Linked DNA regions of Mus musculus. The protein of the gene in region 4 binds, or shares a complex with, the protein of the main gene of each other region. Links are inferred from orthologs where the notes say so. Each region holds a gene or a part of one and is shown on either strand. Other genes may lie near its edges.

What was found.
Region 1: Tmem126b (region 4) and Tmem186 share a complex: the UniProt entries of both Homo sapiens proteins name them as parts of the mitochondrial complex. The link is inferred for Mus musculus from reciprocal best matches to the Homo sapiens genes TMEM126B and TMEM186.
Region 2: Tmem126b (region 4) and Acad9 share a complex: the UniProt entries of both Homo sapiens proteins name them as parts of the mitochondrial complex. The link is inferred for Mus musculus from reciprocal best matches to the Homo sapiens genes TMEM126B and ACAD9.
Region 3: Tmem126b (region 4) and Ecsit share a complex: the UniProt entries of both Homo sapiens proteins name them as parts of the mitochondrial complex. The link is inferred for Mus musculus from reciprocal best matches to the Homo sapiens genes TMEM126B and ECSIT.

What each region holds. Positions count from the first base shown.
Region 1 is NC_000082.6:8,634,514-8,639,250, forward strand, and holds the start of Tmem186 (transmembrane protein 186), read right to left. Parts: upstream 3,199-4,737; 5' UTR 2,976-3,198; coding exon 2,973-2,975; exon of another isoform or gene 2,789-2,972; intron 1,880-2,788; coding exon 1,232-1,879; 3' UTR 1-1,231. Other genes in the region: Pmm2 (phosphomannomutase 2), read left to right, coding at 3,262-3,315. UniProt on the Homo sapiens protein: As part of the MCIA complex, required for efficient assembly of the mitochondrial complex I.
Region 2 is NC_000069.6:36,075,635-36,079,589, reverse strand, and holds part of Acad9 (complex I assembly factor ACAD9, mitochondrial), read right to left. Parts: intron 3,615-3,955; coding exon 3,536-3,614; intron 2,869-3,535; coding exon 2,694-2,868; intron 1,153-2,693; coding exon 1,079-1,152; intron 1-1,078. UniProt on the Homo sapiens protein: As part of the MCIA complex, primarily participates in the assembly of the mitochondrial complex I and therefore plays a role in oxidative phosphorylation.
Region 3 is NC_000075.6:22,075,012-22,078,966, reverse strand, and holds part of Ecsit (evolutionarily conserved signaling intermediate in Toll pathway, mitochondrial precursor), read left to right. Parts: intron 1-701; 5' UTR 702-723; coding exon 724-819; intron 820-2,321; coding exon 2,322-2,739; intron 2,740-2,883; exon of another isoform or gene 2,884-2,947; intron 2,948-3,955.
Region 4 is NC_000073.6:90,472,996-90,477,640, reverse strand, and holds the start of Tmem126b (complex I assembly factor TMEM126B, mitochondrial), read left to right. Parts: upstream 1-1,645; 5' UTR 1,646-1,665; coding exon 1,666-1,746; intron 1,747-4,645. Other genes in the region: Dlg2 (disks large homolog 2), read right to left, coding at 830-851. UniProt on the Homo sapiens protein: As part of the MCIA complex, involved in the assembly of the mitochondrial complex I. Participates in constructing the membrane arm of complex I.

The DNA.
Region 1 (4,737 bases), on a different chromosome or scaffold from region 4:
ATGCTCTGCTTACTTTAGAGAGGACCAGCAGGATGGCTCAGTGCGTGCAGGGGCTTGCTGTCAAGCCTGACAACCTGAATTTAACCCACAAGACCCAAATGCTAAAAGGAACGCAACTTGGAAAAGTTGTCCTCCAATCTCCTTATATGCACAGTGATAAACACACAAATAATTAAAAGAAAAATTCTTAAAGGAAAGAAATTACTAAAAAGCTACAAAGCAAAGCATTCTGGTAGACAAATTACAAAAATCACGACTGCTTTCCTTTTAATGCAGGTACAATTACCTAATAAGCAAGTGTTTGCTGTTATTATGAAAAGCATATGCACTGTCCTTTAGATGATGAATTTTTGCTTGGACACAGTCCCTCTGCTGCGATGACACTACAAAGCTCTCAAGTGTGAGCACCCCCGGACCTCCTAGGGATCAATGTAGTCTCAGGGGTGCTGTCCCTACCTCTGTTGGTGTACAGTGACTTGCTGATGGGAAAAAATAAGTTCACTCTGGGCTTTAGCCATGGCCGTCCAGCTGGTGAGCATGAGTAAGTGCTGGGCCCCATTGGCACCCTAGAAGCCTTGCTCTATGTTGTAAGCTCTGGGCTGTGTACCTTATACAGCACTCAGTATTCACTGGTTTTGCCTGTTCTGTGGTGCTGGGGATGGAACTTAGGACCTTATACATGCTAGGCAAGAGCTCTGTCACAAAGTCCTAGCCATACCCGTTCCCATGAGAAGGGTTTTCCATCTCACAATGCAATTCAAGGTTCAGAAACTTGTCAAGGAGCTAAGGCTCAGCAGAACCCAAGTCCCCAGACCCCACATCCTGTGCTCCTCTGCCAACCCTCCTGCCTCCCAGCTTTACAGCAGCGGTCTGCCTTAGTGACCTTGGCATAGCACTCCTCCAACAACTGCCTCTTCACAGAAACTTCTCGCCACTATATGATGGGATGTCCTATGTTCCACTAAGGGCTTTTTCCTAAAGCTTCCTTTTTGGGCCAAAACAACCTTGAACTTTTTCTCCACCTGCCTGTGTCACCAGTTCTGAGTACAGGCAGGCATAGCCATGCCTTGTTCTATGCAGTGCTAGGGTCTGAACCCAGGGCTTCACATCCTGCACACTAAACAAGCATTCTACAAAGTGAGCACCAGCCCAGTCCCTGGTATTAGCTTTGTCTCATCCATGTCCTAGGCCTTCTGTCTAAAATCCAAGTGTAACGAGGGCTATGAGAGGCCTACTTGCTGTTCTTCAGTGTGGCCAGAGTTCCGAACACTTGTGCGAACCGTTCCCTGTCCAGGATTCGGCCATAGCGTAAGGTGAGGTAGAAGGTCTGCTTGCCACTGTACTGCTGGATGCGTACAAACACATCCTGAACCCGTTCCTGGGATTCTGACAGGGGTATCATGTCTGACACGGCACAGTACGTGTCCTGCCGCCAGCCCCAGAAGGTCAGGTGGGCCACTCGGAGCAGGGTGCCCGACTCGTTCACATACAGGATGCCCACCAGTCTCCGGAAGAAGTGGCTCATCCAACAGAGCATGGCCAGGGCAAAGCTGGCGACCCCACCCAGAAGGCACAGTGAACTGAGGGTCATGAGGCCTTGTGAGTAGCAATAGAAGCCCGGGGGCAGGGCCACCACAGTCACAGCTGTCTGGGCCAACTTCAGCCGCGAGAGGAACCCAATTGCTCGGATGGCTCGGAACCGGTAGATTGTATGGAATGTTTCGGTCTCGGTGCCTGGTGACTTCTCCCGTGAGTGGGGAGACCTGCTCCCCACCCACCTTTTGGAATCCCCCTGCCCAGAGCAGCACCATAGTCCCTGTAGAGGCCTCCTCCATGCAGTGGGCCCCTGCAACCTTGGCACGACTCGAAGGAGGAAAGCCTGGAAGAGAGAGGTTCATTTCAGAAGTCACCCATGCTAATCACACAATGAACAAGACAAAGCATCTCCCAGAAGGGCTTCAACCGCTCCTGGAAAGTCACCATGACTTCCAGAGGAAAGTGATAAAGCCAGACACTTAATTTTTTTTTTTTTTTGGTGGAATTCTATTCTAAATAGGTACCTTCTCCCATTTTTACAACTAAACAAACAAAACCCTAGTCGCAGTTAGTGAGATAGCCCATCTAGTACAGGTGCTTGGTACCAAACCGGGTAACTTGAATTTGATCCCTCAGGCCAACACGGTGAAGGAAGAGAAATTACTCACGCAGTACGTCCTGGAGCCCCGTATGCCAAAGCACAAGCATATGCACACAAACTAAACACACAAGATTAAAACAAAACAACAAAAACATTTTTAAGAACCTAAGCCCTCCCCCACCCCACCTCACAGCCCCAAGTACAGGGAAACACGGGCAGTCTGGAGCTCGGACGGGCCCTTCCTCCTAGGCAGGTCTAAATGAACATAGAAAACCTGTCGTTTCAGCTATTCACTAGAGACCGGGCAACAGCGGACTTGAAGGACCGCCCTTCCTTAAGGGGTAAATCAATCGGTGTCAGAACCCCACACAACAAAGCCGTGGGGTACTTATCACAGGACCTCTGCAGTTCTCCGAGTGCCTTGCGCGGCCAGAGAACCTCTTTGTATCATTAACCTGTCTGGGAAGGAAGCAGAGACGTGAGGCACGGAGGCCCTCAACACACTGCCTGTGGTTCTCTGGAGTGAGCAGATTCTGGGCTTTGGAGTCAAGAGGACACTAGCTGTGCATCCTTCTTCACCCTTCCAAAGAAAACCTCAGAATACGCTGAGGGAGACACGGCTCTTAAGCTCTGAACCGGGTGTGTACGTACGAAGTGGCAGCGACGCAGACCGTCCACGTGACCCAAGGGCCCGGGACAAAGCAGGAAAACAGCCCAAGCTAATAGACTCTGGCCTTCCACTGGCCGGTTTCCCGAATGGTCAGCCCAGGCGTCCTGCCTGCCAGTCCTAGACCCGACCGGGGACGGGGAGCGCGTTCCCTCCTGACATTCCTACCATGAGCCCGCCGCCTGCTACAGGACGCACGCTGTACTTGTCACCGGAAAGTTGAAGGGCGCATGCGCGGGCGGTTAAAAACCCGCATGCGCTAATTCAAAAAAAAAAAAAAAAATTACTATGGCTTGGGAACTGTAGTTCAAATTTTGTAACCGCCACCGGTGTTCTGTGAACCATTAGGGAATCTTCCCATGGTGCCTTGGAACTCCAGGGCTCGGAGCGGACCCGGAAGTTCCGGGTAGAGTTCCGGGTAGAGTTCCTGGTGCGGTCGAGGTTTCTGACTGGAGAAATGGCCACTCTCTGTCTCTTCGACATGGATGGGACCCTGACTGCCCCGCGGCAGGTAGGCGGCGCCCGGGAGGCTCGCGGTGGTGGAGCAGAGCCCTTGCTGCCCTAGACCGCGGTAACGACTGTCCGGGAACCAGGAGACGCGAGTCCTGAGCGGGGTCCTGAGTGGGGTGCGCAGGGAGGGGGCCCCCAAAAAACCTTCCGAGTAGGAAACGTGTTCAGAGTCTGAAAGTTCGGGCCTGAGTTTCTTCTCGGGCCCTCGGGGCTGGTGACCTGGCTTGAACTCCAGCCTCGGCCCTCTGACCTGCTGTTTCGCCTCCCCAGCCCTGTCACCTTTGGCTGTCTCTTCTAATATACCAAAGGCAGGTTCTCAGTCGTCTGACCTTCAGCAAATCTTTCTCGGAGCCCTTGAAGCCACTTTAACTGGGGCATTGCCTGTTGCTTGGGATGTTTTGGTGAGGATCACTGAAATTCATGACAGTTCCTCGCCAGATCAGGCCTCAAAAGTGAGCCCCTGCAGCAATGGGGACCCAGGTAGTAATAGGCTGTTTGCTGAAAGGATCAAGGATCCAATGGGACTTTGTTCCGCTAACAGATTTTGCTGTTAGGGCCAAAGATAAGTTTGTGTGGTTTCGTTGTGGTGATGACATTCTTTCTGCCTCCTATACACAAATTCGTGGTTGAGCAGAAATCACTCAAACTTGACACTGGGCTTAAATAGCTTGGGTGTCTCTGCCCCACTCCTTTTAGATTTCGTGGACTGTTCCAGAAGCCCATGTTAAGTGTGTGTAACCTTAGATATGTGAGTCTTATCTTTTTAATTTTTTTATTCCTTTGCAATTACATGTGTACAGTGTATCTGATCATATTCACCCCCAACCTTCCTGTGCTCCCTCTGGGGAACACCTACTCACACATCCCTCTTCCATTTTCATGTCCTTTTTAAAATTCTTATTTTAATACCTCACTAAGTCCAGTTAGTGCTACACACTAACACACCCCAAGTGATGGGCAACATATCACCCATGCTGGAATGTTAACTGACTTGATCTTGTGCAGGGAACCACAGTTGCTGAATTCATGCAGGCAACAGCCATATAATGTCCAGAAGACAGCATTTCATTCGCCACGCTCCTCCCCGTCCTCTGGCTCTTACATTCTTTCTGTCCCCTGAGCCTGGACAGGGTTGATAAAGGGCACTTATTCTTAGCACTTTGTCCAGGTATGCGTCTGCATTGACCACTGCCACTACAAAGAGAAACTTTTCTTACCAGGCTTGAGAGTGGCATTAATCTATGGATATAAACATAAATATTTAGAAGGCAATTTGACAAGATTTCCATTTAACAAAAAGAACACTAGTAGGTTTCCCCATAGTGCCTGTGAGCTCCTGAGTCATAGCTTTTGACCAAGTACTTTACCAGGCTGTGGAATAGATCTTTGTGTTTTGTTTTTTTCGAGACAGGGTTTCTCTGTA
Region 2 (3,955 bases), on a different chromosome or scaffold from region 4:
AAACCGAGGGAAGCCTCAGGCTTAATTTTAAACACAGACAGCTTCCAAGTGTTAGTGAAGATGTAGAACTTCATACACTATAACCACTATGGAAAAAGTTCTTCAAGAAAGTGCCATTCTATTACAGGCTAGCAATTCTATTACTACATTTACACTCAAAGGGCTTGAGAACATATTTCTCAAACAAAAATTTGAGGATGAAAGTTCACAACTCTGTTACTGACACTAGCCCCAAAGTAACAATTTAGCTTAATGAGTACGTGGTTTACCCACACAGGAGAACATCATCTACCCATTCAAAAGAATGAAATACTGAGTGACAGAGATGTGTTTAAGTTAAATGTCATGTAAACTATTTCTCCATAACATATAAAGATGGGGCTGGAAAGATGGCTCAGCGGTTACGGCCACCTGCGCTCTTACAGAGCACTTAGGCTGTTCCTCGCTCCCACGGAGGCTCACGAACAGCCTGTAACTCCAGCTCCAGAGGATCAGAAGCCTTCTCTGGCCTCTGCGGGTACCAGGCACACATGCAATTCACACACATAAATTGAGACACCTATGCATATACGTAAAGTAGAGAGAAATGAATCTGGCTGATTAGGGTGGCATATGCGCTTAATCCCAGGCTTGGGGCGTGAGGGGCAGGTGAGTCCTTGGCCAGTGCGGTCTACATAGTGAGTGCCAGGCTCGTCAGAGCTACTTGGTGAGACTCTATTCTGCCCAGAAAAAATGAATCTTTAAAATATAAAGCTGACTATTAGGGCAGAGACTTACGTTAAGGGTTCTTGAAACCTGAACTTCTCAAGCCCACTAGCCTGTTTTTCACACTTGCTAGAGAGAGGAACCCCATTCCTCGATCAAGATGAAGGAGATCTCCAAGGGGAATAAAGACTCCTCATCCTAACCAGACTCCCTCCTCTAAGAGCAAGCCATTTTTTCAGCCTTTGTGTTGCTGAATTCCTATGCCCAAGAGCTACACAAGGCCACAGGCTAGCCTGCTAGGAAAAAGGTCAGGGCAGAACATGAGACTCTTGTGAAACAGCACAGCACTTACATGGGACTGCCTGCAACTTACCTTAAAGCCCCCTCCAACTTCTCCAAGGACATTTTCCACAGGCACTCTGGTATTTTCAAAATGGACCTCACATGCTAAAACAACAGGAATTGAAAGAGCGTGACAAACAAATTCAAACTGCTCTGCTCTTGACCACAGGCCCGTGGCTGACTGGCTAATGCACTCATTTAGCATCCTAAAGAACAGTGAAGATAGACCACGTTCCTGCCACCACAGACACGAGGACATGTCAGCATGGTCAGTACTATGATGAAATATCAGCTCAGTACAGAGAAGGATGGAGCTGAAGGGGGCTGCCATCTTTTGAAAGTCCATGACAGACTCTTCTAAGGTAACATGTAACAGTAGCTGAAAGGAACAAAATAGCCAAAAAACCAGGAAAGCAAGGGAGAGCACCAGCAGTGCCTCAGCCCTTAGAATAAATGGGATTCTTATTAACAGAGTCACACTCATGTTCCATAGAGCAGCATCTTCCCAGCTTAGGGTAGGGAGTTAACAGACGGAATGTAGACGACCCGACGTGTACAGACACACAACCTAACCCAATTCACCAACATCCTTCAGACTGAAGCAGGCATCCCCAAACCATAAGAAATAAGATTCCACTGCTGCAAGCTAAATCCTACTGTGTCTGACTGACAGGGACACTGTAGCCAGAGACCACCAGCAATCCTGTAAGAAAGGCTGACTCTATTGGTCAGTGTGCGTTAAACAATGAGAAAGCAAGGTGCCTAGGACTAGGCAGGGGCTGAACAGTTCCCTTTGCACAGCATTCCCTCTAGCACTGCCTGGATATTCTAATGCACAAACAATGCAAGTCCTGGCATGCTGAACCAGAGACACTCAAGATGAGGAAGGTTAGGGTTCAAGAGACACTAGGGCCAAGTGTGATACCTGTCGAGGTGGAATGCCATGAAACATGATCTGTCTGCTGGTCATATTTAGGGGTTGGGTATGTGGGCTAGAGGACCCAGTCACTCTTTCAAAGTGTACTGGGTATGGGGCACACCTGCCTTCCTCTTTGACTTCATCTCATATTCATGAGCCATCTTTTGGGGTCTGCATGCTGCTGGGCCTCCATCCTCCCAGTTGTCAGCAGGTAAATGACGCTGCTGAACGAGCTGCAGAAACGCAGGCTGCACAGCTGTGGGCCTGACATGCCACTTTATACCAAGAGACTAGTTAGTATAAGAACACTATGGCCGGCCAGATGGGTGAGCTTAGGAAACAAACAGGACACCAGCTTCCACTGAAGCAAGGGCTGACCAAGGGATGAAAGGTGGATCTGGACAGTAGGAAGAAAGGAAAAGGATTCTAGGAAAGAAAGATGTGGTGGCCTGCCACAGGATGTGTGCCCAAGACAGCTGCAGTTGTGTGACATGCATGCCTGCCCCTACTGAGGCTGGGATTTCAGCTGCCCTCACTCACCTAGGGTCAACAGTGCCAACTGTACCAAGCAGCACAGGTTGTGGCTGCACTCTTAATTTGATGTTGCTAATTGCTAAACTAAACCCATGAGCAATGAGGTGCCCTTTCACCTTCGTAGGTCACAGGGACAGGGCCTGTCTTTCAAGTCTCTGCCGCACTCATACAGAAGCACGTCTGCCACACTTACTGTTGGAGCCTCGAATGCCTAATTTATCTTCAGGTTTCCCATTAGTGATTCCGCCGAAGTCTCTTTCTACTATGAATGCGGTCATTTTGTCTGTTTTCGAACCATCAGAATCGACCACCTCGGTTTTTGCAAACACAGTAAAAATATTGGCCAGTCCTCCATTGGTGATCCAAACCTGAAGAAAAACAACGATCCTTGGAGACCCCTCAGCTCTATCCAACACTAAGTTTCAGGCCGCCAGACACACAGACTTCATACACTGTACTTATCAACTGAACAAGTGAAATGGGGGATGAGGAAAAAGAAAGGGTGCTCAAAAATCACAATGGATGGGAATTCATTTACTTTTTGATTCAAGCAAAACAAAGTGATCAAGGGCAGAGGGTAGGCGGTGAGCAGGGAAAGCTGAAGGCTAACTAGATAAGGAGCTATTACTATCCTCTGTCCCATTTGCTAATGGTGCTCTATCTTTAAGCAATCCTTGATTAAATCTCAGATAGCACACAGAGGTGGTGAAGACAACAGAAACACGACCAGCCGTGAGCCATGCAAGTGCACTGCACTATACTTTGCCTCTTTGAAATCTTGTGGACTAGAGATTGAAAATAAACACACAGAGGCAGCTGTGTGCAGAATCGAGGAGACTGCGGATAAGACCACCTTGCTCCAATACTGCCTTTGCCACTTGAGGGACTTGGGCTAGCCACTCCGCTCTGCCTCAGGCTGTTCTGAGAAAGAAGTGCCACACACCGTGGGTGACGTGCAGATCTCTTGGTGTCTGGTGTGCAGAAGGAAGACACAGAGGCGGGAAAGACTGAGAGGGCAAGAAGGCATGGCTGTACCTTGGAGCCATTGAGTATGAAGTACTTCTTATCTTCACTTAACGTAGCTCTGGTCTGGATGGACGCAGCATCACTCCCACTGCAAAGATGGAAAGACAGGATTGAGGGAAAGCAATACTGAAGAAGGCTTAGAATTGGTCTGAGGGCTTGGACAGAAGATAGCCCTTAAATACCAAGGTAGACAAAAACAGGTTTGTTCATTTCAACTCTGATGCTCAAACTAGGAAGTGGTCTGATTCTGGAAGCAGCCGGCACATCCAGTAAAAGGAGTAAGATTTGCGTGGGTATGAACTCCCTAAAGCTTATCAAGAGATTCTGGGTGTGATTAGGCCTGTTCCAGAATTCCAAGCACAGAGAAGCAAGATTAAACCAGGTGCCAGTTGGATTTGCATCAGACTCTGAGTCCTGTCCAGGCCTGCC
Region 3 (3,955 bases), on a different chromosome or scaffold from region 4:
AAAAAAAAAAAAAAATGAAGAGGCTGGAGAGATGGCTCAGTGGGTAAGAACACTGAGTGCTCTTCTGAAGGTCCTGAGTTCAAACCTCAGCAACCACATGGTGGCTCATAACCATCCATAACGAGATCTGACTTCCTCTTCTGGAGAGTCTGAAGATAGCTACAGTGTACTTACATATAATAATAAATAGATCTTTAAAAAAAAATGAAGAAGAAAAACTCCCAGGTATGAGGCAGTGGAATGATTACTGTATGAAGGTGCTTGCTGAAGCCTAGAAACCAAGCTCTATGCTGAGACCCACATGGAAGAGAGAACCAGTTCTCCAAGCTATCCTCAGACCTCCACACAAGGGCACGCACACGCATACATGCATGTGCATGCACACATGTGCACGCTCACACACACACACACATGCACACTAAATCAGTAAATATAGTGGAAAGATTCCCAAGCATGATAGCTCACACCTGTAGTCTCAGCACTGGGGAAACAGAGGCAGGAGGATCAGGAGCTTAAGGCCACCCTTGGCTACCTGGGCAATATGATATTCTATTTTTGAAAATAACAAAATCAGACAGAAGTAACCCTTGGAGCTTGGTGGACTAGGCTCTTCTGTCTGAACTGTGCTCTTTGTCATAGTGACGCCCTGTCTCATGGAAGGTATGCTGCAGGCTAATGCTGTCTCAATCCCTCTCAACTAGGTGTGGTTGAATCTACAGAGACATGAGCTGGGTGCAGGTCAACTTGCTGGTGCGAAGCCTCTCTAGGGGCTGGGGAGGCCTCTGCAGGCCTGCCCTTTCAGGAACTCCCTTTGCTCAGGTAACCACAGGCTGGGCATTTGTGGGTGGAGAGGGAACGGCCTGGCTTTACTCTCACCCTCTCAGGATCAGGCCACAGAAACTGAAGGTGGCCCTTGTCCTGCCTGTCCTAGTTGTGGTCCTGTGTTAGCTTGCCATCGCAGTACTAAAGTACTATGACCATGGCCAAAAGCAATTTACATTAGAAAGAGTGTCTTGGTTTACAGTTCCAAGGGTAGAGTCCCTTATGGCTGTTTGTGGCCAGAGTAGAAACTGGAGATCACATCTCAAGCATGTAGGAAGGAGAACAACCTGTAAATGAGAAGCCGGTATAAACCTGAAGGTTCTGTACCCTCCCTGTGCACTGCCACCAGCTGGGCCAAGTATTCAAATACGAGAGCCTTTGAGGGACATTTCTCACTCAGACCATGACAATCTGCCTCTCTCCTGGCCACATAGACTCCTGACACTATCATGATGCAAAATGCATTTCATCCAATTTCTAATGTTCCTATGGTCTGTCACAGTGTCAATACCATTTAAAAGTCCAAAGTCTATTCTGAGACTCGTGCAATCTCGCAACTGTGACATTCTACGTAGAAGTAAATCACACTCTTCCATCAGGGAATGACACATTCCATCCTTCCATTCCAAAAGGGAGGAATGAAGCCAAAATGAAGAAATACTGAACCCCAAACAAGACTGAAAACCCAGCAGTGCAAACAGGAAGCCCTGTAGCTCCAATGTGCTCAGACAGCCCCACTCCTCTAGCTCAGCTGCCCTAAGCCATACCCCACCCCAGACTGGCTCCAGTCCCTGTGCGGCTGTCCTTGGCAGACATCTCATAGCTCTGACATCACCAACATCTTGAGGTCTGCTCAGCAGCCCAAGCTTCACTCTCACAGATTGATGCAGTGGTATCCTGGGACCTCCTACCTTCTCAGGATTCTTGCTTCCTTCCTGCCTTCAAAGCCAGTACCATACAACACTGCCAGATTAGCTCATGGTACTTCATCACAGTAACAGGGAAGCACTAGTACAGAAGTTGGTGTCCACAAATAGGGTGGTTGCTATAAAGACCCTGACTGTGTTATTTTGGGAAGGTGGAAGACTTTGGAAATTTGGTCTAACCAAGCAAGTGAATGCTGTAAGCAGAGTTTGACAGGTCTGTGGGGAAAATTCTCATTCAAACCACAACAATGTGGTCCTGGCAATGCTTCTTGATGTTTTCTTCGCGTGTGTGTATGCGTGTGTATGCACCATATGTAATCTCATATGGCCTTAGAACATGTATGTGTGGCTCAAGCAAGTATTGAGCTCTCAATTCTCCTGCCTTAGCTTCCTTGGGGTTGGGATTTCAGGTGTGTACTACCATGTGGCATTGTACTTTAATGTACTATATCATGATATCTAAGCTACGGTTAGCAGTAACAGTATCAAAGCGCCTAAAAGGTCCTCCATGATGTCCAGGGTACCTCTGCCAAGAAACAGAAAACAAAAAGCAGGCACCATCCTTTCTCCCAGGTGTCCCTCCAGGCTCTACGAGGCCTTCACTGTAGTGCAGCTACACACAAGGATGAGCCGTGGTTGGTTCCTCGACCCCCGGAGCCCCAGAGGAAGCCCATCAAGGTTCCAGCAATGCATGAAGACTCGTTCAAGCCATCAGGAAACAGGGAGCGGGACAAGGCAAGCTTCCTGAACGCAGTGCGCAGCTTTGGGGCGCACAATGTGCGCAAGCGCGGCCACGTGGACTTCATCTACCTAGCACTGCGCAAGATGCCAGAGTTTGGTGTGGAGCGGGACTTGTCAGTATACAACCTGCTGCTGGATGTTTTCCCCAAGGAGGTCTTCCGGCCCCGCAACGTTATCCAGCGCATCTTCGTCCACTACCCACGGCAGCAGGAATGTGGGGTCGCAGTCCTGGAGCAGATGGAACGACACGGTGAGGAATGTGGGCCCAGCCTTCCTTCGCATCCTTCTCCACTCACCTTTCTCAGTCTCCCAAGTCCTTCGCCTGCCCCTCCCCTCTCCCCTCCCTCTTCCAATTATTAGGCTTGGGCTGTAGAAAAGTTGGAGGAGGACTTACCTGGGATGTCTCCAGGCTGATCCCCTGTATCTAAACCTCGGGTGCTTCCCTGTCACCTCAGCTCCTAGGCAGTGAGGGGAGACAGGGCTTCAAGCTCATCCTTCACTCCGTATGGTTCTGGGTTTTTTTTTTTTTTTTTTTAAAGAATTCTTTTTTTTTTTTTTTTTTTTTTTTTAAGATTTATTTATTTATTATATGTAAGTACACTGTAGCTGTCTTCAGACGCTCCAGAAGAGGGCGTCAGATCTTGTTACAGATGGTTGTGAGCCACCATGTGGTTGCTGGGATTTGAACTTTGGACCTTCTGAAGAACAGTCGGGTGCTCTTACCCACTGAGCCATCTCACCAGCCCGTTTCTGGGGTTTTTTGTTGTTGGTTGGTTGGTTTGGTTTTGGTTTTTTTGTTTTTATGATTTATTTTTAATTATATGTATGCTATGGCTGGAGAGATGGCTCAGCAGTTAAGAGCACTGACTGCTCTTCCAAAGGTCCTGAGTTCAAATCCTAGCACTCACATGGTGGTTCACAACCATCCATAATGGGATCTGATGTCCTATTCTTGTGTGTCTGGAGATAGGTACAATGTACTCACATAAATATAATAAATCTTTTTTAGAAAAATTATATGTATGCTATGTGTTAGTGGGTATGTGAATTCTGGTGCCCAAGGAGGCCAGAAAAGGGTGGTGGATGCCCTGGAATTCGAGTTAAAAGTGGTGCAGTGCATACTCCTAATTGCTGAGCTATTTCTTTCTCCAGCCCTCTTTCCCCAACACACACACTTTACATGGTCTCATGTAGCCTAGGCTGCCCTTGAATTTGCTGTGCTGGGTAGCCATGTCTGGCCTTGGCAGGTTTTTGCCTACTGTTCCAAGTGCTGGGATCTCAGGCATGTGCAACAGTGCCCCTTTTATATGGTGCTGGGAGTCAAGCCTTCCACCGTATGTGCCAGACCAGCACACTACTCAACTGTGCCCTAGCCTCAGCCTCAGCTTCCAACAAACAAACAAACAAGAAACCATGGATGGGCCAGATGTGGTAGTGCACACCTTTTAACTCCAGCAGTTGGAAGG
Region 4 (4,645 bases):
AGCAAGTTTTTCAATTTTTGTAAAATATATATTCTTGTTTTAAAAGCTGAGAAAGTTATCTTATGCATAGAAAATGTTACTAAAACTCCTCTTCAGGCAGCAACACTTTTAGATGTTCAATAACTAACTCAATTAAGGCACAAACCAATTTTAGGACGGTTGACTTATTAATTTATACATGTTCGACATGGTTCGTAATAAAGAGCATCAATTTTTAGGAAAAAGTTTAAACTTCCCCTTCAAAAACACTTTTAAAAACGTCTTACTCTAGTCTTTTCAGGGGTGTGTGAGTTTGGACAGTTTTCTGGGGGCAAAAGAGAGATTCAAAGGCCCCCTTCTATTTACTGGTTCTGTTTCTCGCCCCTCAGTAAAACACTATCCAGCTTGTCACTTTCCTATTTTTCTTCTGTGGTCTCCAAGCCCCCAAGGCTTGATCCTTAATGCCCCTCAGATCCTGATCCTCCTGTGTATTAACTGAGAGGATTGAAAAGAAGGAAGGCAATCCCTTGGCATGGAGACATTAAAGTGACAGTGCTATTCAATGGGCACTTGATGCAGGATGATTTGGCGAAGCAGACTTCTTCACACTGGAGTCATTCACATCATGCCATCTCTTCGCAAACAAGCAGCTTCCTATCCGGCGAAGAAAAACACTGAGGCTGCTGGAAAGGAGAAACCAAACCTTCCCCAAAAGGTGTTTTCAGAGACGCTGTAGTAGTATTAGGCATGCAATCACACACTATGCAAATAGTCCGCGATTTCCTAAATGAGAGTGCAGCTGTTTGGCTTCCACATCCACCCTTTCTCAGTCTCTCTCCAATCTACCCACCTTCCTTTTGCAGAAAAGACATTTCTCTGCCACCGCTGGCCACCCCTGCCCACACCCCGATCTTATACAGAAGAGCACCGAAATGTCCTGCACCCTCCAAGCGATGAAGTGTTTCCTCGGGCAAGAGAAACAGCAGCACTAGAAATTATATAACTCTCGAATTTGGCTTGCCTAAGACATGGAGACTGGAGGGTCGGGGGTTGCGGGTCTGGCAGACGCTGCTGGGCATTTCACGTGCACGGAAGCGCGCCTGGCCTCCTCGCAGCACCATCCACCCCTAAAACACTGGCCGACCAGGGCTCTTCGGGGGAGCAGGGAAAAGGGATATTTCTAACTGAACCCTTTCCAAGCGGGGCTTGAGGGTGGACTATGGGGACTGAAGACTGTAGAGAGCAGGCTAGCCCGTGCTGCTGTGGCCGCGCCGGGGAGACGGGCTGGAGGCTCTGAGGAGGAACCTTAGAAACCACAGCCTTAACACACCGACCGGGCCGAAGGAACTACCAGGGCTCGGTTACCCCAGCCGCCCTGAGAAGAAGGCGCGCAGCAACAGGCCTGCGCCCGAACCGCCCCTGGTTCCCTTCAGGTTGGCCAGGCTGACAATTTGGCAGAGGACAAGGCAAGGCTGGCTAGGGGCGGGCCCCTGACCCTGAGCCTTCCTCGGAGCCAATGAGAGATCGCACTTCTGCGACGCCACGCCCAACCTCCGCCCGGCTGGAGGGCGCGGCTTTTGACTGGGTGGGGGAGTACCGGACTAAAGGTACGAGCTGTCAGACAGCTGCAAGTCCCGCCCCAGGCGCTCCGGCCACGCCCTCCTGTCAGTCACGTGAGGCGCTAAGATGGCGGCGTCCCAGCGACCAAGTTGGTCCGAGTCGAAGGTTGCTGGTGTTGTGCAGGAGGGAAATAGGGAAGCACCCCAGGTAGGCGGAAATCTAGGGTGGTGTGGGTCGCCTCCTCGGAGATGATGCACGTGAAGGATTTGAGCAAATAGAACCGAACCCGACTTTATGTAGAGTGTAATCAAATCTCTAGTTCCGAACAGCGTAGACCTGAAGTCTACGCCGATTAAATGCAGCTTGTTTCTCTTTCTCGAGGACCTTTCTTCAATTACAAATACTTTATCGCCTTACCCCACCCGGCCCGACCTCCAGTTCTCTCATTCTGTTTAAGTCTCCTGCATTTTATTGATTTGATGTGTTCTGACTTAACGCAAGGTTATGATGGCTTCTTGAATGCATTCACTTTTTTGATTACCCGAGAACCTAATATCCACCACGGCTGGACAAATCATGTTGAATAAAATTCTGAAGGTCAAATAATACACTTAAAGATACAACACACACACACTTTGCAGGCCATACGCCCACACAAATGCACTTAACGTGTATAAGGATGGTGATCTAATCAGTTGAGTGACTTTGAACTTCCTTAACTCTCAGATTAAACGTTGGTTGTGGCAAAAATCTTCATTTTCAGTTCTTGCTGAAAGACTTCCTTGGAATCTGATGATGGAGCACTTGTCAGGCCTGAAGCCCAGGCGTCTATACCAACAGCACAAAAATAAGTTAAAACAAAACAAAACAAAAAACTCTGGGCAAGTTAATAATCTATATCTCCTTAATTAAGGAGAGTGTAGTGAAACCCTTGCAAATGCCAGATGCCAAAAATATTTGCTGTTGCTTTTGATTATTTCAATATTGACTGTCCTGCAGCCATAATTGTGGGTACCCTTTTCCCCAAAGCTGTCTTAAAGGCCTGGAAATTTTCTGTGGGTGGTGAAGAGGGCTGTTCAGGGAATTGGATGAGAACAGAACAAAAATTTCTCTACGTTTTTTTGATTAGCCATGATGCTATTAATATCTGCCTTCATCGTACACTAGATGGATTGGTTAGAGAATCCTCCTTAGAAAATACTATTTCTTCTTCCATTTTTCCATTTGGATAGCAGAAGGAGGGGGGAGCAAAAGATGTAAGTCTAGTCCCCCCCAAAAAAATATAATTTGTAAAGTATTTTATGCCTGCTCTGCCCACCCCCCTTCTCAGCTATCTTAAAGAACTGACTTAAATGCTGTGTTGTATTAAGGCAGAAATACTGGTCTTTTGATCAATTGTATACCACCTTAAGAAGATCAAGGAACCCATTCTTTGTGTGTGTTGATTTCCTGGAGTCAGGCTCCATTTTTTTTTTCATTAATTTTAGGCTTATTATATGCTCATCACTTATAAATGTTAGCATGTCATCTGTAATGAACCTTTGACTTTATAACTTCTCATGGATTAATCTAGAAAATGTAGAGCAAAAAATAAAAAGCACTGAACTTTGAATCAGTAGACATCTCACTGATGAAATAAGTAAATATTTAAAACCAGAATTTTGGATTTGTAGGAAGTGTCCATATATCTTTGTTTGAATGAAATGGAATACTCGTAAGATACATAAAATGTCATAGTACCAAAGGATTTAACAAGTGTTTCCAGAGACCCAAAAGTCTTATGTATAGCCAGAAACTCAAAAAGGAATCTGGAATGGATTTTCTAATCTCTTGGTGAAACTCTTATGGTTCTTAATGTGGGCAACTATTGGCTTATCACATGGGACACAGAGACCTTACAAACCCTGAGTTCATTCCCTTTGTCCAGGCTTCACAGTATAACCCATAGCTATTTCTGACAAAGACCCTGCCTGCTTTCTACCCTAGGCCCTACTAGAAAACTGAATTGCAACATAAAGTCCAAGATAACTATGGTGCACTCCCTCTTCCCAGGCTGGAACAGTACCCAACTCTGACTTGTTGTTGTTGTTGTTGTTGTTGTTGTTTCTCCACTTTCTAAAGCACTTTCTGTTCTCTCCTACCTTCCCTTAGCCCCAAAATAATCTCCCAAACTGGCTTAGGCTTTCATGAGAGAAGACAAGTGTGGTGGTTTGAATAGGAATGGAACCCATAGACTTGCATGTTTGAATGCTTTGCTCATAGGGAGTAGCAATATTAGAAGGTGTGGTGTTGTTGGAGGAAGTTTGTCACTTGTGGGGGGGGGGGGGGGCTTTGAGGCTTCCTGTGCTCAAGCTAAACACACAGTCTCCTGCTGTCTTCAGATCAAGCCTGCCTACACCCCACCGTGTTTACTTACCTCCATGATGATAATGCCTCTGAAGCTGTCAGTCAGCACTAAACCTCTGAAACTGAAAGCCAGCCCCAATTAAATGTTTTTTTCTGTTAAGAGTTGCCTAGGTCGTGGTTTTGCTACACAGGAATAAAACCCTAAGACAAAGATAGATCTTTGTCAACATGCAGGTATTATTTCTGCTGTTACTTCAAGAGGATTAAAAAAGCTGGGCCTTCTACTCTTGGAATGAACAGAGGAAGCTATGCTGAACGAAAACAAAATCACTATCTCAGTAGCAAGACAAGCTTTCTGAAACTCAGTTTTCTAATCTATTGTCTTAATCATTGTTCTAATGCTGTGAAAAGACGCCATGACCACAGCAACTCTTATAATAGAGAACATTTAGTTCAAGACTTGCTCATAGCTTCACAGGGTTAGTCCATTATCATTTTAACAGCCCTGGAACTGAAACAGTATATCCTGATCCACAGGCAGCAGAGGCAGGCAGATTGACAGACAGACAGACAAAGAGACAGAGAAGCACCTGACCTGGCATAGGTTTTTGAATCTCAAAGGCCATGGATGCTCAGTGAAATACTTCCTCAGACAAAGCCACAACTCCCAATCCTTCTAAATCCCCATATAATGCCAGTGCTCCTCCCTGATAACTAAGCATCCAAATATATGAGCCTATGGGGGGGCCATTCTTCCTCA